Oreochromis niloticus: one gene and its partners. The protein of the gene in region 1 purifies or fractionates together with the protein of each later gene. This does not show direct contact. Links are inferred from orthologs where the notes say so. Each region holds a gene or a part of one and is shown on either strand. Other genes may lie near its edges. The genes, in order: cdk5rap3, ufm1 and pip4p2.

Region 1 (7,787 bases):
AAGTAAAGTTAAAAATAATCACCAAGAAAAATATAAGTACATGGTGCTGTTGAAGAATATTGTCCAAATATATAATTGTTTTTCTGAACACTATGTCATGGTGCTAAATCTGAAACACGTTCCATATTTCCAGGTACTAGCTCCAACCAGCACGAAGCCATTTATCGTTAAACTTGCATCTTTACATCTTGTACCCCGGAAGTTCTCAGTGTTCTGATGCTGGAGCAGAATCAAGGACATGACTGAAGCCCAAGTGGAACCAATACTAACATTTGGCAACATGAACCACCTTCCTCTGAGGAGATGTCAGTTTTAGCTGCTAATTTAAAGTTTTCTAACCATAGTGAAGTGACTTCTATACTCCTCTACATTAGCTGTATTTGATATGCACATGTTAGACTTTGTACATCCACAAGGCCCTACTTGGGAAATGTGATAATTAGAGGGCGTACATAGAGCTCTAAAATTTACTGTGACATGCAAACGTCACAAAGAAGTTCTCTTGGACTTGCTTTGTGCTGCTATATCAGCAATCTTTATATGGAAAGTTTTACATTTTAGTCCACAACACTGGATGATTAAACTGTTTTTCTGTTAAGGCAGCAGAGTTGTGAAATTTCTAACCACAGAACATCAGAAAACGTGGCTGAAAGAGTCGCAGTTCTGCAGACAGCAAGCTGTGTGAAAATGAACTTTGGTTAACATGGTTTAAATTTATTTGCACTAAAGAATGCTTTTATATTTACTGACTCGGTTCATCTGTCTAAAAACTACAGATGAAAATGAGCTTTCGGGTCTTGTTTATTGTCTCTGCAAAATAAACAAGCTAATTAAATAAATATAGACAATATGACATAAACTGAAAACAAACAGTCTCATAGGCACTTTGTGTAAACAAGTAGACTGGTCTGCTTTGCCTTCTCCACCAGTGTGTTGAAAGGCCAACATCCAATTAGGCCTAAACCAATTTCCTGCCTGGGCCCAAGTACAGGGGTCCTTATATTTAAGACATTCTTTTAGGCACAAGCTACAATAATTAGGTTAACCAGTATACATTATCTCATTACTAATTGGTTTTACGCATGTTAAACAGCATGAAAGTCTTAGCTGAACTACAAAGAATTAACACATATTTGTACACAGTCACATTTCATGACCTAAATGGGACAAAAATAGCAGCACTGAGAGATGGAAATTTGCACATTAACAAGACCAAAAACACTTAAAACTCATCCATACTGTCAGTAAATATGTATTAAAAATATTTTAAGATTTATTTTTAAAGGAGCCAGAGACACCCTGTATAAAATACAGAGCAAAAACACACGTAGCTGCGTTCACAGGTGTTTTTATACTATAAAGAAGACATTGTGATATGTCTTTCCCTTATTTTCCTAACACACTTACCCAAATAGACATTATCTGCTTCATAAAGAGACACAATCTCCTGCCAGTCCTGTGAAAACAAAACAACAAGGGAGAAGGTTTTACAGCAGAAATCCCAAATAAAAAAAATCCCCTTAACATGTGACACTGACAGGCCAGTGTATGAATCCTCTCACCTTCATCCTCTGTGACGAGTATCTGCCAAAGATGTTCTTGGAGGAAGCCTCAGTTCCCTTCAGGATCTCCACGATCCTCAAGCAGTGAAAGTAGTGAATGTCTGTCAGTGAAAACAAACAAAGCACAGATATGGATGAAGATTTAAAAGCAGTGCATATTAACAGCTGCTTAAAATACAATAAACACCAAAGCCATGCTCCTCTGCAACCCCTGCTGGTGTTGCAGTAGCAGTGCAAGAGTCTTTGGGAGTTGCCTGAGGTTAACTGCTAGTTGTCCACAAGTTGTGCAAAAGCATGCCTGAGGTTGGTTTGGGAGTGACAGCACTTATTGCTAAACCTTGTCATGCTCTCCTGAATGCCATTATTAGCTTAGATTGGACAGTATTTTAAAATAAAACCATTAAAAAAACTCCAGTGTTAGTCTCCACTTTGTTGCAGTCATTAGCAGGGTTGTAACACCACCTTAAAATAAGAATAATGATAACAAGAAAAAAACATTAATAAAGTTGTGAAGTGGGGTTTAAGCCTTCATTGATGATTATAAAGTAACCCTAAACCTATGTCTGGTTGGAAAGGAGAGTCCCTGAGAATAGTAGAAATGGTGCTAAATAGCCTGCTGGGTCCATAATAGATTCATCTCTCAGAGAAGTCGATGGCTGGGTGGGTGTATTGAGTTGTAGGGGACCTACATGAGCCGGAGAGGAGCGCCTTGATCTCCTCGTTCTCCGGCATGTCCTGGATGGCAGCATTGATCTTCTCCCTGATCACCTTCACTGCACTTTGCCATTTCAGGTTACAGTGCCTCCGATCCACCAGCCAGTCTGCAACCACACAGAGCGAGTTTACATCTGTAACATCTGTTTCAGCCAGCATGCTAGAGGACTACAGGGCTGTATTAGCTGCTAGTAGCCCAGCTACAGAGGAACACATAGAGAAACTAGTGCTTGCTTTAAATGTGCGTGTTTTTGTCTTACCTAAAAGTTTGCTGGTCTGTATGTCGATGGGAAGGTTCTGAATGTTCCGCTGCAGTGAGACAGTTAATACATTTTGTTATTTACACCTTTTACTTCCTCTTTACCTCTCTTATTTAACTTACGGAAAGGACAATATCACATTAAACCGTTAGGAAGACATTGTGAATAAATATCTTAAAAAATGTCATAGGACAGATTGTTTTCTCTGCTAACTTAAACTCAGTGTAAAGTGTTCATTTCTCTGTCACTTAAGTGGACTTTTGACTGTCAGATAGCTAGCGTTAGCTCGCAGGCTAGTTTTTAAAGCCAGCTCAGATAAAAACTAAGTTTAATCTCACCTCCATAATTTCCCTTTCTTTTTAAAAACGTTTCCGATAATTCAGAGCTTCATTATACGATTATATTCCGGTTTATATGCAGGATTATCATCACCATCCGGAGCTTTCCTGTTTATGACACGTTAGGAGAAGCAGAGCCAATAGGAAGAGGGGATGTTGGCATGTCGATGGCTGCATTTGGATTGGTGAATCGTCGTGGCCCCTGATTGGTGCAACTAATGAGACTGTCGCTAGAGGGCGATAGTGTCACTTTACTTAAGGTCAGTTATTCCCAAACTAAGAGTAGCCCATGGAAAATGTGGAAGAATACTTGGAAAATGTTAGCTATTTCTTGTTATGGGTCAGTCATTTGTTTTTAAAAAGGTCTGATGATATTTCTTGCACAGTTAAATAAACATAAATGTAGTTTCCCCTCAGAAAAGGAAATCTACATCTATCTATCTATCTAGACAGTTATTACCTGTAAGCCTGTTAAAATAAAAACATTTGACATAGTTGTGACAAATGTGCTCTAATTTCTTTAAACATGTATTTAAATGATTCTGGTTATGTGTCTACATCTCATTTATATCTCTCTTTATTTGTTTATTTCATGCTTTCCTATATACATATTTCTCTATTATCCAAGCACACTATTGTAAGTATGCTATTTCTTTGCACTTAATGCTTTGCATGTTTAAATTCATGTACAAAATTGAGGGGAAAAGAATCAGAACACTAATCCAAAGTTTTATATCCATAAATAGGAAATTTTGAATTCTAAACTTAATTTTATTGTTTAAAAAACTAAAAAAATGAAATTTGTTGAAATGAGATGATGAAATGATGAGAAATGGACTAGTGGAACAAGAAGCTCAGACGTGGACAAGGGATGAGAACACGGTGCTGTTGGAATGCTACTATGCAATTAACCCCAACAGAAAGGGTTACGTAGCTCAGTGTTCCAGCATGCGGAAGAAGCAACTGCTATCACAACTGGAGATTGATGAAGTACAACACAAATGCTACAGCAAGGGGGGGCCAGGATGTCAGGTCAAGGGGGAGATATCATCACCCCCACCCGAGATTGGGTACCAAGTACAACTGGTGTGTTGAAGGCATTGAGCGAGGCCTCAGTGGCTAGTAGATCTAAGACCACAGCAACCTTCCTGAACAGGGTTTAGTACCATTACAGTGGCAGACATCCAAGAAACGGTCTCCAGTATGAAGAGTTGGATAGCACCAGGCCCCAACATGATTCACTCCTACTAGCTGAAGACACTAACTGCACAAAGGAACCAACTGCAAATAAAAGAGGCACACCCAGCATGACTAACCGAAGACTGGGCCGTCCAGATCCCAGAGGATCCCCAGAAGGGACCAGCCCCATCCAACTATTGGCCAATAACCTGCCTCAGTACCACATGGAAGCTCTTGTCGGGCATTATAACGGCTAAGATCAACAGGCATGTGGCTCAATACATGAGCGGGGTACAGAAAGGAACTGGCAGAAACACCATAGGGGCAAAACATCATACTGGTAGACAGAGGAGAAAAATAACATTAATTAATTAATTAAATATCAATTAACCCTACATTTTATGTTCATCTGTTATATTTTATACATTTGATGAGACATCATTATTAATATTTATTTATTTATGTTTGATTTTGGCCATTCAGTGATTAATAACGAAACATTAAACTTTGTTATGTAAATTATTTAAAAAAACATTTATTTACTAAAAACTTTTTTAAAAAGTTAAATGTGTCATTACAGTTTTATTTTGTTCATTACGTCACATAATCTTAAATCTGAGCAAACAGAGACTGACACAGTGTATTCTTGTTATTGAAAAAAGGGATATGGGTGAAAAACAACAGCAATAATTCAACAATTTGGCTTCTTGTGAACTCCAGACTGGACAAACATGAAAACACAAGCGTTAAATCCCTGCAGCAACAGAGTCTCTGTAGTGGCCTAATTTCAGTTCATTTGAATGGTGACCAAACTTGCAAATTAAGCGTCTATTCACTGTCTGTGATTTTAAACAAGCCATGCAAAGCAGCTCGATTGCTCTCGTTCTCTCCCTCCAGCTTAAAGCCATCACAAAGACTTATGTAAGAGAAAATGCTCAGTGAAAGGTGACTTTATTCTGACTCCAAAGTCCACATTAAAACAATACTTGGATTTAAAGTGAGACTGATAACGGGGGTTTTATTTACAGTTTGGAAAGCCGCTCACCTCTCAGGTTCACATTAGCCCTGATGTCAGAGATCTTGATATGGGACTGAGCTGAAAATCACATGGCTGCAACATTTCCTCAGTCATGCACTCAGCTGGGCGGGCTCTAGGTGTGTGTGTATGTGTGTGTTTGAGGAGGGTGTGTGCTAAAGAGGAGTGCAGAGGGACAAGGTAAGAGGGAGAGGCAGAGGGAGAGAGATGCTGCACCTGTGCACGCTCACCTGAGGAGAGGAAAAAGAATCAACTGAAAAACAAAGAGCGGAGACAGAAAGTTTGTAAGCATGCCGAGACAGTGTCGCATGTGAGAGAGTCCCCTTTCAGCCAGCACACTGTGAACAAGGTAAGAGAACGAGCGCACCTGAAAGCCTCCGATGAACTGCACTGGAAACTAGACTTTTATCTGTGCAAGAAATACACATTTAACTCTAATTACAAAAATCAACATGCTACTTCCATCTTTTTCGCTGGTATTTCCACAGCTCAACAACCCTGATCAACATATTAGAACTGCAGTACTGTATTTGTATAGCCAAACAACAGCTAAAGTCAAATTTCCAAGTGAAAATGTCAAAAGTTTTTTGTTTCTAGCTCCTTAAGTTGGAGAATTGACTTTATTTTTTCACAGTATGTGGATGCAAACTGGATATTTTTTAGTTTTTCAGGGACAAAAACAATAAATATGGAGACATTAGCTTGGGTAACTTGAGGTGAGTGCTGTGTTTTAACAGTCAAATTATGGCTGAAGTAAAATCTCCTGGAAAAGAGGTCTGACATTCGATGATTTCAGCCTCTAAAAAGTGAGAACTTGGGATTTTTACTCATCTTATATTAAACAAATGCACAGTTTGAGAGCTTTTGATTTACAGAAGAAAACATTTGAAGAAATCAGCTTGAGATGGACAAAACTGTGACACATTTTGACCTTTGCCGCTGTTTTAAAGACAGTTAATTGAATAATTAAAAAGGGTAGAAGCCTGAAGGAGACACTAATGCATTGTCTGACATCAGAAAGTATTAGGAGGCCAACAGGGTTACTATGCATGCTAAATAACATAGTGCAGATATGTTTTAACATGATTTTATTTGTCATGTTTGAGCTGGTTAGAATAACACTAAGTCATAAAAGAGTTACAGTCACAAATTAACCTTTTTGGACTTTGCACCTGTGTGAAGTTTACAATTTAATCAGTCTGTGGATTTTTGTGACCTTTGAGAAGGCAGGAAGACCTCTGGAACAAATGACTAAAAGACATTTTTATTAATGGAAATAATCAGACGAGCTAAAAAACTTTGCTGCTAGGGGTCAACAGCAAGTCTGGTACAAGGAATGAAACCCGAGAATCTAGTGAACCTTCAGTTTAAGTTACAAAGGCAGCAAAGCCCTCGGTGCCCTTGGAGGCTCCTCTCTGTCTTTCTGCGTCTCAAACGTTATTCTTTTCAAAGACTTTGCAGGTTGTTAGTGATTTCCGATTGTGCGCCACAGTTCCTGCTGTGATCTCTGAGGCTTTGCTTGGGCGGCTCACCCACACATAACAGAATACATGGTAACTTATTAAAATGGAGGGCCTCCTTTGTGTCAACAGGAGTTTTTGTCTCAAAGGTCACATCTAAGTCAAACACAGCATTCTTTTGGAAATATGTGTGCATATTGACAAGCTCTCTTACTTAACATGGTGTGAAAGTGCCGAGAAGGTATTTTGTCTTGTAGAAACCGTTTTGATGGAGAGTCAACAAAATTATGCAAATGCTCTGTAAATGTTTGCTATGAAGAAACCTGTCCTTTTTGTGTAGGAATAAACAAACAGATGATGAAACAGAGAGAAAAAAAATGCTAAAATCTAAGGAATGTGACATAAAAGAAGCTGTGGAAACACAAGTAAACACTTTGAAGTGTTTCAGTCACTTGTAAAAGTTCTTCTTGGTGAGCAACTATTACCCTAGTGTCTGTGAAAACCACAAACCCAGGTTATTAAGCAAAGAGCAAGACCGGGTCCAGAGGAATAAATGTAAAAGGTGCCTGCATTGCTGTTTCCAAAACTTTAAATCAAAGAACCTTTGCACTCTTCGTTCGTGCCAGGTGCCAAACATCACATGGGTCAGATAAGAGTAGGATGAGTGTTTCTGCAAAGGGCATGGACTCTTTATTTGCATAGGTGCTACATGATAAAATAACCACACCAAAGGGCCTGGCTTCCTGTCAGCCCTCATAAAAGAGAGCGATATGGTTGTGTTTGTGAAAGTCATAAAATTTGGTTTATGAGCCACGCTTTTATCTAAACACTTTTTAAAGTTTCATCCAAAGCTTCAAGTTTAAATTTTAAATATTGCAGAGAGAGGTGGGGTTAATCTAAACTACTTAATACGCTCCCTGAACAAGATCATACAATTTATGTGTCTATCGCACGTTTATGTTTTCATTGAATCTATCTGGTCCCCGCTTTGGTAAAGTAACTCAACAAAATTCCTCTAAATTCTGGTAAAACTAAATTAAAAAGACCTCAGAGCTGGACTTACCATAATAGTCTCACTGATTGTGCTTACAGCTACAGTAAAAATGCTATTTTGTGGTTTTGAGGACATGATGCACTGTTGTAAACGTGAAACTTACAAAATTCAGTTTAAAATATGTAATTTCTGACTTTTTGTATTTTGGCAGTTCTACTTGGAAATAAACCATCAGAACAGTTGC
Region 2 (7,807 bases), on another chromosome or scaffold:
ATAAATTCTAATCTTGCTTTCAAACTCTGCTTTGTAATAATATAGTTAAAATATAGGGATTTCATTTGGTGCTGCTTACAAAAATGATTGTCATATAATATGATTTTAAGATGTTTTGTTTGTATATATTTTTTAAGAAGTTAGCACACATTGATTTGCTACTAATGTCAAATTAGTCCCTAAAAGGTCAACAAAAGCTCAACAATTTAAGTGCTTTGAGATAATGTGATAGCAGGAATGTTATGCCCATATACACAAAACCAGTTGACATAATCCAGTATGTAAAACCAGTATATAAAACAAAGCCATTATACCTTTTGTTAATCTAATAGGCAGGAAACAGTCAGACTTCTTTTATGTAAGGTGGCACACACTGCTTTGGTTTTATTTAGGGGTTAAAGTGAGATTCGGCAGGGGGAGGATCCTTAAGCATGGGGATAAGAATGACTTAGAATTAAGTCACATAATGATTTGTTTGTGAGCTCCAGTAGATTTTTCTTTGTGTATACACTTTGATCAAATGACCTGTGCTGCTACTCTATGCTCTGCTCTAGTTATATGGCTGATTGCTAACTCCTAGACACAAAGCTAAAGCTAACAGGTGGAAGGTAAAATCCAGCGAGTGAATCACCTTAAATATGAATTGATGTTTGCTACCCTTGATGTAACCTAGTAACAGTACTCAGCAAGCAACCAACCCAACACGTTGCATCATTCTAAATTCTACCACAATATTGCAAACTAATCAGTTTACCCTGCACTAAACTGCCTGGTATTTTATGCAACCTTTGAATAACATAAATTTAATACACTTTTTTAGTTTTGCAAGCTAGTTTTGAAAGCATTGATTCAGCAAAACATTATTTATATCTCATTTCAAAAATTATTAGAAATAAATGAGGACATTGCATGTAAGATTTAAATTTCCAGTCTATAAAATTTCACCTGCTAAGCAGTGCTTAACTTAAAAATAATGTCATTCTCCTCTCCTGACATTTATTTGTCTGTGTATCAGTCTCAAACATTTTTTTTCTCAGCTTGTGAGATAAAGCAGCTCAGAGACACGAACAGCATGGAAACAGTTTCCGTTTGTGTTGAGCTGTTTGAAATGTTACATTTGAATTTACCTGGCACTTAAAAAAAGCATTAATCTGTTTATGTAGCTAGACTGTACCACGATTGCAACTTTTTGTCTGCCCCACGAACGCATCACAGGGATGAGAAGAATGGAAAAGGATGTGTTGAGGCTGTAAGTGGGCTGTGGGAAGTCATTATTTTCTTATTACTGAGCAAGTATCTCCGTGATGACACTGGAAGCAGCACCAGACACAAAAAATTACCTCATTTACTAATAATCTGCCGAACCTGTCGAACCTCAAATTTAATTACTCATTAGATCAAGGTGCTACAAAGCTATTCAGCTCCACCTTATTCCCTGGTTTCATTCATGTGAATACATTCATAATAAGCTATTTAATAATCTATTTAAATAAGACCTGAACAAGATTTTTTCCAGTCTTTTATTGTTCATGCTACCACTTTATATTGCACTAAAAAAACCAAAAACAAACAAAGATAAAACAAATCAGCTGCAGAAATGGCAAAAATTGATTCAACTATGATTTCTGCATGAAATCCATGAAGGATTTCAGGTAATTTGTCAGAAACCTGAAGTTCAACTAGAAACGGAAATGGATCTGCTTGATACGCCCAAGTGTTGTTCAAACAGAAGAACCAGAGTATTAGAAAAAATATTGAAAACCTAGATTTGAATACTTGGTTCAAGAATACAGCTTAAAATTTGAAACTCTGTATCAAAAGCTATTGAATGTTTGCTTTTTTCAATTTCATCAAATTATCAAACTCATAACAATAATACTATAAAAAATAGATTCGCTAAACTAACTTTTTCTAGATTAAAAAAAGACTTATACTCTGAATTAGCATTCTAAGCAGAGTGTTTTTGTTAAACATGCCTGTACTTGACTATGACAAAGACTTGGATTATAAAAAGCACATTGTGCCTTTAAGCAATGCAGAGTCAAACACCACAGCCATAACAGTCTGTCTGAGGGCTTAATGTTAAAAGGTCTGATTTACATTTAGCCTTGGCCACAATGATTCCCGTTTCTGCTCGTCCTGTCCACATTCTGATGTGAATTTATCCTGCATATAGCAGGGACGTCAACGCAATTTTAAAATGTAGGGCCCCAAACAGCCAACTTTTATTCAGTTTTTATTCATTCAGATATTTTTTTAAACTACAGAGTCATTGTAAATAATGGAAAACGAGAAACTTTTCTGTCATTTAATTATTTATCTATTACTTAACTACTTTGATGTAGTACGAATGGCGGATATTAATAGGAAAAGCTGTAAAACTTGTAGAAATACAGTTAAAAGTTTAAAATTAATTTAATAATACTTTTATGACTCTGGCTGTTTGTCAGGATTCACATATATTATACAAATTACTTTAATGAGTGCCATTCCCATTGATCACGACCTAAAGATAGTCAGTTTCATTCATAACAGACTTCATAAAATGCTGTGAAGCCACACTACAGAAAACGGAAGCCGACTGTGATTACAGTGTCAGCATCGGCACTAGCAGATGTTCACTCATTCCCCACGTTTTTACGTTGCTTAGTAAAAAACTACAAACACAAAATATCTGCAGTAGCCGTGAAATGTTAACTAAACGTTAAATAAAGTCGAAAATGTAGCTGGCTGAGAAATTAAAGCGGTGACTGCTGAGCTGTCAGTATACTCACACTTTGTATGGTAGCCGGGGGTCCGACGTCAGGGTGATTTTAAACGTTACTTTAGACCTAATGAAGAACACACCATTACAGTTGTTAACAGACGGATACACGTGAATGAATATAAAATATGTCCATGTCAAAATTTCACGAAAGTCCAAAAACTCACATCTTTATGGGCGAGGCGACTCCGCTTGATATCTGTTTATACAAACCCGGAAGTCAGAAGGACCCTCACGTACACGTCATCCATCTGGTGCCAATTTTGAGAAGTAAATGTATCTATTTTAAAGTTTAATAGTTAGCTAAGATTTTTTTTATAAATGACTAAATTTTTTCAGTTAAATTGTGCATTATTATTCAAACATAATCCATTGTATGTCCTATTAATGGACAGGCATTCATAGCAAATAGCTAACCATTACCGTAAAGGTTATAAACAAGACGCAGTTACTTCTGTGAGGCGCACTGACATCTTTCAGCACTGTTATTCAACTCAATCCAGGTTCTTGACGTTAAACAAACATAACCCTCATTCAGATTGGAAATTTGCTGCTTGACATGATGTTGTTGGGAAGAATGTAAGAATTAAAAAGAAAATGATTAAATCCAGTGCTTCTTTTGGTGAAAAGAAGCATCACCTTTAATTTTAATTAGTTTGTTTCATGCATAGAATTTAACATTTACAGAAATCTGAGATTTTTCATACTTTGCACACCTTTAGGTATCCCACTGTGCTTTGGGGATTTTCTCCCCCTAATTTTAACAATGTGATATAGCTTTTGGTGGATTAAAAAAAAGCTTTCCAAACTATGAACAGTCTGTACCAGTAAGAACTACCGTCTCCCTCAGAAAACACTGTTGCACCACTGTCATAATGCCCGCCTAGTGGTTAGTTTGGCAGAGCCTCAAACAAAGAAAACAGCTTCATGTCCTGATGAAGCCAGCTGCCAGAAAACCAGAGCTGCTTTCACTAAATCTGTCTCTAAAGAGTAAAAGCTATGAGCAAAGCAGAGGAACTGTTTGGCTGTAAGAGTGAATCTAAGAGTCTTCATGTACTCCAGCAGAACCTCTGGATTGCTTTTATTTTTGATGAAAATGGCCCCACTACAATGGCAAAATCTCAATACATGTTTGATGTTAGAACCACTAACAAACTGTATGGTAAATGTGGCTAACAACTACCTTATTTCCTACTTCTTGTGCTCCAGCATACTTTATACTTTGGAATTTTGTGACATTAAAATACAGCCCGATAATACTTTGGAATTTTATTCCCAATAATATAACAGTTTCTATTGTCAAATAACATACACATATAAAATAGTAACACATATCACTTTAAGATTAATGTAAACCAGCCTTCATCTTAAGCCATTTTCTGACCTGTTGCTCTGAATTAGTAAAGTTCCTAATGAGTCTAACAAAAATAAATCCACATTCACATCCAAACTGAAGGCAAAGACTACAATTAAAGCTGATTTTACATGCAAAATATGCTAAAAGAAAGGTAGAAGTGACTTAACGTGTCTTCAGTGTGGTTAAAGAAAAAATTGGTTGTTAGCTATAAATAACATTTTCTTTTCTTTTCTTTTCTTTTCTTTTCTTAGCCTCTTTCCTGGCACTTCTGGTACAGTAGTAAGAAAAAGTAGGTGATACACTGTAGGCAGTGAAATGACAACCAGCATAAAAGATGGCAACAGACTCGATGACTCAGAGTTCCAGTGCAGACACTCAGGCAAACACCTCTGGGATTCAGTGACGAGTTTTTCACAGGAAAATGTAGAAAAAAGAAGAAGTTTACTAAAAAAAAAAAAATCACAAAGGATTAAAACTTTCATAGTAATGTATCATGGAATATAGAGGAATGTTCCATGTGAGGAAATGAGAAACAGCACAAGGATGCCTGAAAAGGAAAACCCCACATAAAGCACGAGTTGCCAAAATAGCTTCAGAGCTCCTTGGCATTGATTTTTACAAGTCTATGCTGGAGGGAAAAACAATTCTTCCAAATGATCTTCTTTAACTTGGTGTCTTCATAATGACGGTGCAGAGCTGTGCCTAATATGTTAATCTTCCATCTCCCATAGGCGTGTAAGTTGGTTGAGATCCAGTGACTGTGAAGAACACAGACTATAATTCTGTGTTTTTCAAACAATTCACTGACCACTTGTGATGGTGGCATTGTCATTGTGGAAGCGACCACTACTATCACCACTAAAGTATGTCATCATAGAATAGAAATGGACACTCAGAACAACTCTGTATTGATTTGCAGTGAACCTTCCCTCAATGAGGCCAAAGATGATTATACAATAAGAGCAAAATGGCACTCAGAGCATACTGGTCACTTAATTCGTCCCACTGTATGGATCAAAGGTTCAAGTTTTTTTTGCAGAATCTTTTGTGCAGGACATTTGTACTGATGACGTATAATGAATATACACTGAATGCAGTTTTCAGTAATTGACAGCCCAAAAAAACAGAGACAGAGACTTAATTCAGCATATTCGGGGCAGTTTTAATGAACTAGTCAGATTGAAGTTCCTGTCTTGAGCTCATTCTCTTTGATCATAAATAGAAATGTATAATGAATGAGTTCCATACAGAAAGACACATTTCATGGAGTGCCTCTGTCAATGTGGCAAAGAGGAAATATTTGCTTTGAAGAACATGACAGTTGCCCATCATCTTCTTCTTGCAGAAAGTCTGAGGGTGTGTTCAAAATGCATAACCCAGCAATAGGATTAGTGCATTGTGTAGCTTCCACTGAAAGAGCATAAAAAAGGCAAACCTCATGGACAGAGGGAGAAAATGCCAGCATTACCAGCAGAAATATAACAATTAACTACATTAATACTCCTCCTTATGCGTGTAAACATATGCCCAAATCTATGTGCCTAATGCACATTCCTGTATGCACGCAACAGATATTAGTTTAGTTCCAAAAGGTCACTTCTGAACAGTTTGTATAAATTTTCATTGGATTGGCAGAAATATTGACATAATTGGACATCTCCAGGAAAAGGGCATAGACATCACGGTGAAATAAAGCAACACGAGTAATGGTAATGCAGCGTGTAAATGAAATAGTGTCTATAGTTGCTGCTGAAGAACTCTGGCTCACACAGCTATCTATTTATATATAGGAAATTCTGCTGTGCACAGTACTCTTCAACACCCACTAAGTAAAGCTCCAAAGTGTTTGATTGTTGTGTGCTATGCCTGTTTCAGCAGTGTTATGCTTTTCTGTGTTGTGTTTCTACTCGCTGCACAATGCCAGTGCAGCAGCTAAACACGAAACATCAGATATTTTGATCTGATCAGAAAGGCTCATGTTTTATTTTATTATTCTTTTTACCTCACTCACTGTTGATTTTACCAGAAAAACTGGAGATTTATCTTTTATCTGTTTTTTTGTATTAATTTTTTTTAAATGAGCAAAGCCTAGGCTGAACATGACAAAGGGTCATCAGTTCAGGAGGGTAACATATCAGTTAAGATTTGTGGTGCACAAATATCTAAAACTAATAGAAAAGAAAACAAAGCCAGTCCAAACAGGATAAAAAAGTAATACAATTCTCATTTCCTGTTAATCACTGACAGGCTCAGTGGGTCTTGGCAAAAAACAAACACCTAAACTCATTCTAGGTTATTGAAATAAATAGAAAATACCCCACCTTCAAACATGAAGAACTCATAGATGATCCACTTCACCCCACCTCTCTTTCATTCTGCCTGTGTGGCAGTTTCTTCTCTGCAGGCACTGGAGAGGCGGTGTGGTTTGTTTCCTGTAAGGCAACACTGGCAACACCTGAGCCCAGTGTGCCAGTGGTCTATGAAAGGCATTACTTGTTTGTGACTGTGCACGTTGTGGTTAATTTAAGTTGTTTCTTTGTTTCTTTGATTTAAAATAGGGAGTTTTTAACTGGGATTTATGTGCATCTCCCTTTTTGTCATGGCTGTGCAGCTTAATTCATAGGTTCATTGTATTTCTGCTTTGTATTAGGTAACCTGTAGTTGCTCACTGTGTCATTTGCAGCAGTGTCTAATCATGTTAGTATCTCAGTGGGATATTGGAAATTCAAAGAAATGAATACAGATATAAAGTATAATCCAAATTAAAAAAAATTCTGGTAAAGTAACTTTTAAGGAGCACTTGTTGCAGAAGACATGGCTCCAGTCTCAACAGTTTAAGCACAGTAGATCTAAACTTTAAGGACACTGAAAGCTTCCTCTCTGGTCCTAATGCTGTTCAACATATCTGAAGTGTCTCCATTAACAATTTTTTACAGTGTTAAAAAATAACATTTTGCACAGATGTTAGCTAAAAGAATTTAGCCCATATTATTATTCTGATGTTCTGAAAGGCTTGCTGAAGTTTACTTCATCTCCTCACAGTTGTCTTAACGCAGTGTTCTCTTCCCCCTTCATTCTTCATGTATTTGTATTAACTGCTTGACTCTGCACTAAAACAAGTATCCTCTGATAACATCCTGCCTAACAACACCTTTTTATGCCAGGATGGAAAATTCATGATCATTTTCGGCGCTGTTACATGGTCACACGTCGATAAGATTGCCCCTCATGTGAAAAGCAATAATGAATAATTATATGTGACAGCTACGGCGACTATACCTCAGGGGACAGCCCCAATGTCATTCTTTTAATGTTTACTTACTTTGCATAATCCCCAGCATACTGAGTCGTAATTAAATTTGAGCTGGGGAATAATTTGCCTGTGCTGTGTTAACATGGGAGAGGGCATGATAAGCAAAGCACCAAAGCAGCTTTCCTGATATATATTCGGATGTTTCTCAAGAGAACACTGTACAGTGACATACATGACACCCTGTTTGTATAGAGTGCAGAACACTGATGTGACACCCTGCCCCAGCCTCTAACCACTATTAATGTTATTGATAGATCTATTTAACCTTGCTGTCGTAAATGCATTCCCCAGATCCTTTTTAGGAGACAAGACATTATCCTGGTGGTACACAGAGCGCAAACAAAATGAATCACTGATGCAAGTGAGTGGCCAA
Region 3 (7,510 bases), on another chromosome or scaffold:
TTCTCTTCCACTGACCTGTGATAAAGACTCGTCATTGGTCACATTAAGTCACATGTTCTTGTAACCCACCCACTTCCACACAGTAGCTGCTCTCTCTTTGGAGGCAGTTCTTTAATGGTGGAATCAGCAAGTTAATATTTTTAACTTTGTGTTTTCATGATAAACATGACACTGAGAGTTTCTACTACTAACAAAACAAAACAAGATAACAGTGTTTTTTTAATGAGAAAGTGAAGTAACAGATTTTTCATACTAATGTAACTGAATTTATATACACTTGCCAGACACTTTATTAGGTACACCTTTCCAGGATTTTATGGGACCCCTTTTTTTTGCCTTTAGAGCTTCCTTAGTTCTTCGTGGCTTCAACAAGGCGCTTTCTCCATGGTGTAATGTCCATATTGACATGATGGCATCACACAGTTGCTGCAAATCTGTCGCCTGCACAGTGAACTCACTGTCATGTTCAAGAAACCTGTTTATGGCATTGTGTGTTATCCTGCTGGAAGCAAACATCTGAGGCTGGGTACACTGCGGTCATAAAGCGATGGATGTGGTCAGTAACCTTACCATCTAACATCAAGTCTCATCACACAAGTCAATGTTTTTCCAGTCTTCTATTGTCCATGTTTGGTGAGCTTGTGTGAACTGTAGTCTCAGTTTCCTGTTATTAGCTGACAGGAGTCTCACCTGCGATGATCTTCTGCTGCTGTCGCTCATCTGCTTCAAGGTTCAAAATGTTCTGCATTCAGAGATCCTCTTCTCCATATCTTGGTTGATTGCTTTTTTCAGTTGCTATTGACATTCTATCAGATCAGGATTTGTTCTCACTTTCTGACAAATCTCTGTAAATTGTAGAGACGGTTGTGTGGGGAAAATCTCAGTAGATGAGCAGTTTCTGAAATACTCAAACCAGCTCGTCTGACTCCAACAACAATGCCACATTCAGAGTCACTTAAACCACCCTTCTTCTCCAGTTTGATTCTCAGTTAGTCGTCTTCATGTCTACATGCATCAATGCACCGAGTTAGTGCCATGCAACTGGCTGATTAGATATTTGCATTAATGACCGGTTGAACAGGTGTACCTAATAAAGTGACCATGAGTTGCTAACAAGAAGAATCAGACCTTTCTATTTCGGTACTGTAATAGCAGGGTAACTGGATCTCTTCATATAAAGAAACCTGTTAACATATTTGCTGATGTTTCATGACTTCACCTTGGACTAATTAGTCCTGATAATGTGAAGCTGGTAAAGCTTCATTTTAAACGAGGCAGACCGTTTGTTTTTCTTTGATTATTTTAGGGCAAAATTAAAAAAAACAAGCAGCAGCCACTGAATTTCTACCTGCTACTACAGAATCATTTCAGTGAACACAACAAGTATTACATGGATATCATAAAAATTTAAATTCAAGCCACAGCTCACTTTAGTGCCTTAATGCAGCTGCTCATTAGTCAAAGCAGCGTCACAGTCATTGTGTTTCCGGGAAATGTCACAGTTTTGGCATCTTAGGATCAAATTAATCCATTTTACAAACCCACACTGGAATTAGCCAATAATCCAGTCTGCAGAGAGGGTGGAGGGAGAAACTGTGTCACTGTGTTAGCATCCAGCCAGGCTCTCGCTTCCTAGATTATTACAGTCCAGCATTAAGAGTTTAATCCCGTGGTGAAATATGAATTCTGTGGGATTAGACGTCTCGAGAACAACAAGCACTTCTCTCTCTCTTTCTCTCCTCTGTTTGTTTGAAATTGGCCTGAAATGCTCCTTAAACTGATTTACACGGTCAATGAGTCCATTCATTTGCTGCCGACCATCCCGAGCTGCTGCAAAGCAAAGAAACGTTGTTTCTGTCAGGCCGCTGACAAAAACTTAGAAGCGGAAACAGGGGAAAAAAAGTCAAATACCACTGAAAGTAGCACTCAAAATCTAATCCTCAGACAAGAGAATGTGATCTGAGGTGAAAGTAAAGCCTGAATCAATATTTAATGCCAGCAAAACACAAGGAGGGCTCTATGTGAGATCATGCATTTTTGCAGCTCCCACAAGCACTTTGCTTCGTCTTTCTTCTTGTGGAGAAGAATAAATTGAGAATTTGAGGAGATTATATTCAGAGCAAAGGTCAGTGCAGACAGCTGCTGCCAGTCCTGAGAACAAGCACTGTGGGCTGTAACTTACATGTTTATGTTTTCTGCTGTATGAAAGATGCAAATCATGCAAGAAGGCTCAAGCTCGTCGCTTACAGTGCATTCACCATGCAAACGAGCAAAACTCACAGCTGCCATCATTAAAACAGGAGAATACGACATTTAACTCGTGTTGCATTATTTCTCCCGTAAAGGGCACACCTGTGGGTGCTTTTGTTGATCTGCAGCTGGACAAAAGGATGCTTCGCCTGCCTCCATCTGCAATGCCTCAGTGCTCCCACGTCAACATTCAACCTAAAATCTACTGAGGCTTTGCAGAGCTTCAGCTCACACCTTTTTTTTTTTCTTTTTTTTTTGCTAGCCAAAGTCACGGCAGGCCCCAGTGAATCGTGATGTAGAAATCTCTGCACTGAAAACACTGTTTGATGCTACTGCTGGTATTACCGCAGGCCCCTTCTACATAACCCACTGCTCCAGTTCTCACAGTGCAAGCTCCACCTTTCAGTCAGCTGCCGACTGATTTCCCAGCAATGCCCTTGCCTCGCCTTGCTGCAGCTTTATTTACGCACTCACACAAACTCGATACGCCCTGAAAATGATTCAGCATGCAGGCGGCGGGGTGCTGCGTGTGGCGTGTTTACCTCGGGGACTTGAATCCTGCAGGTACGGGGGAGCTGTCGGGGTCACATTCTCGGAGTTGGGGCCCGACAGCAGCGGAGATCGCTCGTCCATGCCGTCGGAGGCCATGTCGTTGACCGTGATAAATGACGGGGTGGCTCCTGGCTGCACCGAGTTTTCCCTCAGCACGGAGGAGCAGCCAGAGGCTGGTTGTTGGTGCCGACTCGCTCCGGTCCAGCAGCAGCAGCAGCCCCGCTGACGGCAGCCTGGAGGGGGAGGAGCTCCGCGGTGGTCCCCGCCCCTCTAAGATATGGCCCCGGGCATGGGCAGAGTTCATGCTGGTGCACACTGAAGGAATTTTTTAATTTTTTCCTGATAAACTGCATTGATTTAAAATGCGTTGTTCCCTTTAATACCCCAAATACAGATTTATTCATATTTAAGCCTAAGAATAACAACAACATTAATGAAATCCATACGTGACGATAAAGTTTGAGAGTTTAAACGGTGGGATAAGAAAAAGCAGCAACTCACAGCTGTTGCCGCTAGATGTCACCGTGGGATTACTGAGGTCCGGGGCAGTGCAGTCAGAGCACGCTCGCACCATATTTTACTATTGTCAGGTTCACACTACGGAAGCGTAGAGCTACGGAAGCGTAGAGCTGCCACCCAGGCAAAAGAAAAATAGAAGTATATCACGTTATAACGTGAAAAGTTTATTGTTCTAACAAGATACTTTTCATGTTTGTACAATATACTTTTGACGTTTGAACAATATAATATCACGTTATTACAATATACATAAATATCACGTTCGTACAATATATTTATATTGTACGAACGTGATAATTATGCATATTGTAATAACGTGATATTATATTGTTCAAACGTCAAAAGTTTGAACAATAATTATATGCATAATTATCACGTTCGTACAATATAAATATATTGTACGAACGTGATATTTATGAATATTGTAATAACGTGATATTATGTTGTTCAAACGTCAAAAGTATATTGTACAAACATAGTATATTGTACAAACATGATAGTATATTGTACAAACATGAAAAGTATCTTGTTAGAACAATAAACTTTTCACGTTATAACGTGATATACTTCTATTTTTCTTTTGCCTGGGTGGCAGCTCTACGCTTCCGTAGCTCTACGCTTCCGTACTACGCTTCCGTATCACACAGCAAAGTCCCGCTGTGTTGTGTTTTTTATGTAGACCAGGGGTGGCAAACTCATTTTACAATATGGAGGACCACGAGTACCAAAATTAAGTAACTGTTAAGCATACCTGCCGTTTTCTGCCTGTGTAAAGATGTTTAACTGCACTTTTAATCCCATTTAATACAAGAATAAGAAGTGCAGTTATAATGGTAAGTCTCAGTACAGCATTGTACATGATAAAGGAATGCTGCTGCAGTCAATGAAAGAAATCATTACAGAAAACTAAAAAAACCTGCGGGAAAAGGTTCTGATAGCTCACTGCTCAGACTGTCCTGCAATTACAACCACAAGAGAGTCATAAAATAATAAATCATCATTTAAAAAAATGTTGGTCCTTTAGAAATGTCTTTATATTTGTCTATCTATTACTTTAGTGTAGTATGAATTGCAAAAGAAAAACTTCTGGGCATTTAATAGCCTCAGATATAACAACCCCCCAAAATAAATAAATAAACATACAAGTGATCAGGGCTTTTGCCAGAATTTTCAAAGTATTGTGACTCAGATTTCTCTTTATTTCAGAGTCAGTTTTGGACTTTGCTTTTCACTGTATTTACAACATTTGGACACAATTATACAAACATGTGAACCACACAGATGGCCTTTATAGAGCCGACTGTTCATACTATAAACAGCACTCCTTTTTCAGTTTGACTGAAAAAGATGCACTTTCTCAGTTTAAACATCTGACGACATGTTTTCCAGCATCCCAAATTTTTCAGAATTGGGATTGTAAAATTTAAGCTTTGATCTCTCTCACTGAAAAGAAAAATTAAAAGTAAATCACAATATTTTCCAGCACACATGCTCATAAAGTGAAATCTTTCCATCAAGGGAATAATAGTGTTGGTTTTTCTCTCAAATGTGCCGTTTGTTTCCAGACAATCCAAACCACGATAAAAGCTTGTAAAAATGTATATTTCTGTGTGTAGATACTTTTTTAATAAGGTCAAAGTCACATTAGATCACTTTTTGGTGACAACAATAGTATAAAGATACAAAATTACTATAAAAGTAGTCAACTCTTACAAACAGATCAAATAAATGAAGTGTTACTGAACCATGTAAACAAAGTGGAATTAATATTTTAACTTTATTCGGCTTCTTATTATTGTCATGTTATTTTTACATTTTACTAAAATACCCAGTGAATACCTTTAAAAACTTTACTTTGCGAGGCAGCAGGCAAACTTAAGCTAAACCAGTGATTTATGGCATAAACAGGACCTCATGGTGGTGTAATGCTTTTAAGTCCCACCCTTTTTATGTTTTACAATTCATCCTCAAATTTAGTGTTTGTTTTCAGAAAACTGCTCGTCATTCCCCTTAAATTGCAAAACCCTGGCTTGTTTGTGCCAAAATGTGTCCCATTCCTTGCAGCTTATGTCAGGGTGAAAGCCTCAGGCTGTGTAGATCCACTCTCTGGTCATTCAAAAAACTCGCTAAATAACTACAGATGCTCTGCATGAGTTTTGAGCTCATGGACAGTCTGGGTACTTTTTGAAACTCTTTTCTCTCCAGTAACTTCAGGGTAGCATCGTGTTCAAGTGTAACTCAGGGATGGTTTCAGAACAGCTAGTTTAAGAAGCAGATTTGGTGTTTTAATTCGAGCGTGTTGCTGTAGCTGTTTAGGATGTTGTAAATGGCTCATAAATACAGCATCGCACATCCTTCTCCCCCTGTCACTCAAATCAAAAAGTCTTCACAAAAGAAGTAAAGCACAAATGAGCATAGAAAATGAAGCTCACACAGAAGTAAATACACATCAAAGCAGGGATACGATGCAGAGAATGGCGCTCTCTCCCTCCAGCAGGGAGTTTTTACTGTAACCCACACCTCACATGCATTTTACAATCTCCCATCCCATCCCCTTCCACTGAGGAAAAATCCAAGCTCCTGATTCTGCTGTTACCGGGCCAGTAAAAGTGATTCAGATTGCATGTAACAGTCTGCAGTGAACGACTCATTTTTTCCGACGGCTGCAGGCACCAGAGGAGCGCCGCTACGCACAAACAGAGACCGCTCTGTGCTCTGTGCTCTCTCTGTAAGGTAAGACCGCTGAACAAAAGTCAACTTAAAATGAAAATTCAGATTACATCCGTAAAAAAAAAAACAAAAAAAAAACATCGCGGTGATCTGGAGTTCAGGATTTCCTTCAGTGATGCGTTTGCAGTTTTGATTTGTTGCCAACTATGACGCTACCCAAACTGAGGCAAATTTCCGGTTAAACTGCAGGAGAAAAAAACACAAATGTATGTTCTCTGGTTTTGTACAGGATTTATTTTTTGGTGTAATTTAATAAGAAATTTATTTAAGCTTATTTGCTATTGAACTTAATAAACTTCATGCTTTTATTTTGAATGTTATGTCACTGAATGCATGCAATCAAGAGGTCTCAGTGTTATTTTTCATGTTTCTATTGATCAGTAGAAATTTCTTGCCCTTCACACAGTAGTTTTCTCTTGTACATGAAGTTTAAGTATGAGAATACTTGATAATAATCATAGTGAATGGATTTTCTCTGGTGATTCCTGCGTGTCTAAGTCTTTTTCTTTTTAATGCAGTCAGTTTGGAGATGCTCCAGGGGACAGTGAGCAGGGCTTGGCTCTGCCTGTCCTTCTGCCTCCTGTTGGGGATCTGTTCTCCAGCAGAGGATGGAGGACCAGCAAGTCCTCCTCCTAGTTTCCCCCCTGAGCAAGGGTCAGGGGAGTCGGATTTCGAGGACTGGGAGTGGGGCTCTGGATCGTCTCTTCTGCACCTGCTCCACAGCTTCCCCGCTGACAGCCCCTTCACAACAGAGTCCTCAGAAAAGCCAGTCAACTGCACACAGCGCTTCTGGCTCCCTCCATCATCTCCAATCTGCTGGGAAAACATAGCAGGACCCAAAGAGTTTGCCAGGTCTCGTCTGCTTGTTCTGCAGAACAGGGCGGCCCTGCAGGCGGTGTCCACCTCCAGCGGGGTGGAGGAGGGAGGGCTGTCCTACGACCACCAAGCTAGAGAGGAGGTCCAGGGGATCCGATCAGACCACCAGAAAGTGACCGAAACTATGCAAAGCATGGAGACCGTGTTTGTCTCTCTGGCAGAGAAGAGGAAAGAGGGCAAGGAGCGGGGTGTCTTTACGAGGTAAGAAACAATAACAGTGGAGAATTCATTTATCAGCTTTGTGGGAGGAATAACCCAAGATCAGCTGGTGGGTGTAGAGGTGAATACTATTAAATAGGCTATATATATTATTAAAGTTTTAAATGAATAAAAGAACTCTGTAATTTTAGAGTGGGATCATGTCACACCCCATGAATTAAAATTTACATCCACCGAGGTCTTCAAGGTCAATTTAATGATTTATTGGTCAAAAACTGACAAAAAGCCTTATAACTTAGAAGCTATGATTCTAAGTGTGCAGTGTATTGTCAATATATAGAAAGTACTGTATAATGATTTAAAACATGTCATACTTGGCCTCTGACCTTGCCCTCAAGGTCTATGGATTGATCTGAAAGTCAAA

The links.
Region 2: the proteins of cdk5rap3 (region 1) and ufm1 purify together in Homo sapiens (co-immunoprecipitation; 3 studies listed by BioGRID and IntAct, with this or other methods). This does not show direct contact. The link is inferred for Oreochromis niloticus from reciprocal best matches to the Homo sapiens genes CDK5RAP3 and UFM1.
Region 3: the proteins of cdk5rap3 (region 1) and pip4p2 purify together in Homo sapiens (affinity purification with mass spectrometry; 3 studies listed by BioGRID and IntAct, counting the BioPlex papers as one, with this or other methods). This does not show direct contact. The link is inferred for Oreochromis niloticus from reciprocal best matches to the Homo sapiens genes CDK5RAP3 and PIP4P2.

What each region holds. Positions count from the first base shown.
Region 1 is NC_031973.2:5,428,577-5,436,363, forward strand, and holds the start of cdk5rap3 (CDK5 regulatory subunit-associated protein 3), read right to left. Parts: upstream 3,041-7,787; 5' UTR 2,881-3,040; coding exon 2,875-2,880; intron 2,586-2,874; coding exon 2,537-2,585; intron 2,384-2,536; coding exon 2,252-2,383; intron 1,664-2,251; coding exon 1,563-1,663; intron 1,457-1,562; coding exon 1,408-1,456; intron 1,401-1,407; exon of another isoform or gene 134-1,400; intron 1-133. UniProt on the Homo sapiens protein: Substrate adapter of E3 ligase complexes mediating ufmylation, the covalent attachment of the ubiquitin-like modifier UFM1 to substrate proteins, and which is involved in various processes, such as ribosome recycling and reticulophagy (also called ER-phagy).
Region 2 is NC_031975.2:15,565,477-15,573,283, forward strand, and holds the start of ufm1 (ubiquitin-fold modifier 1), read right to left. Parts: upstream 3,033-7,807; 5' UTR 2,934-3,032; coding exon 2,932-2,933; intron 2,832-2,931; coding exon 2,775-2,831; intron 1-2,774. UniProt on the Homo sapiens protein: Ubiquitin-like modifier which can be covalently attached via an isopeptide bond to lysine residues of substrate proteins as a monomer or a lysine-linked polymer.
Region 3 is NC_031985.2:21,131,707-21,139,216, forward strand, and holds the start of pip4p2 (type 2 phosphatidylinositol 4,5-bisphosphate 4-phosphatase), read right to left. Parts: upstream 3,081-7,510; 5' UTR 2,899-3,080; coding exon 2,793-2,898; intron 1-2,792. Other genes in the region: uncharacterized protein si:ch211-57n23.1, read left to right, coding at 6,581-7,128. UniProt on the Homo sapiens protein: Catalyzes the hydrolysis of phosphatidylinositol-4,5-bisphosphate (PtdIns-4,5-P2) to phosphatidylinositol-4-phosphate (PtdIns-4-P).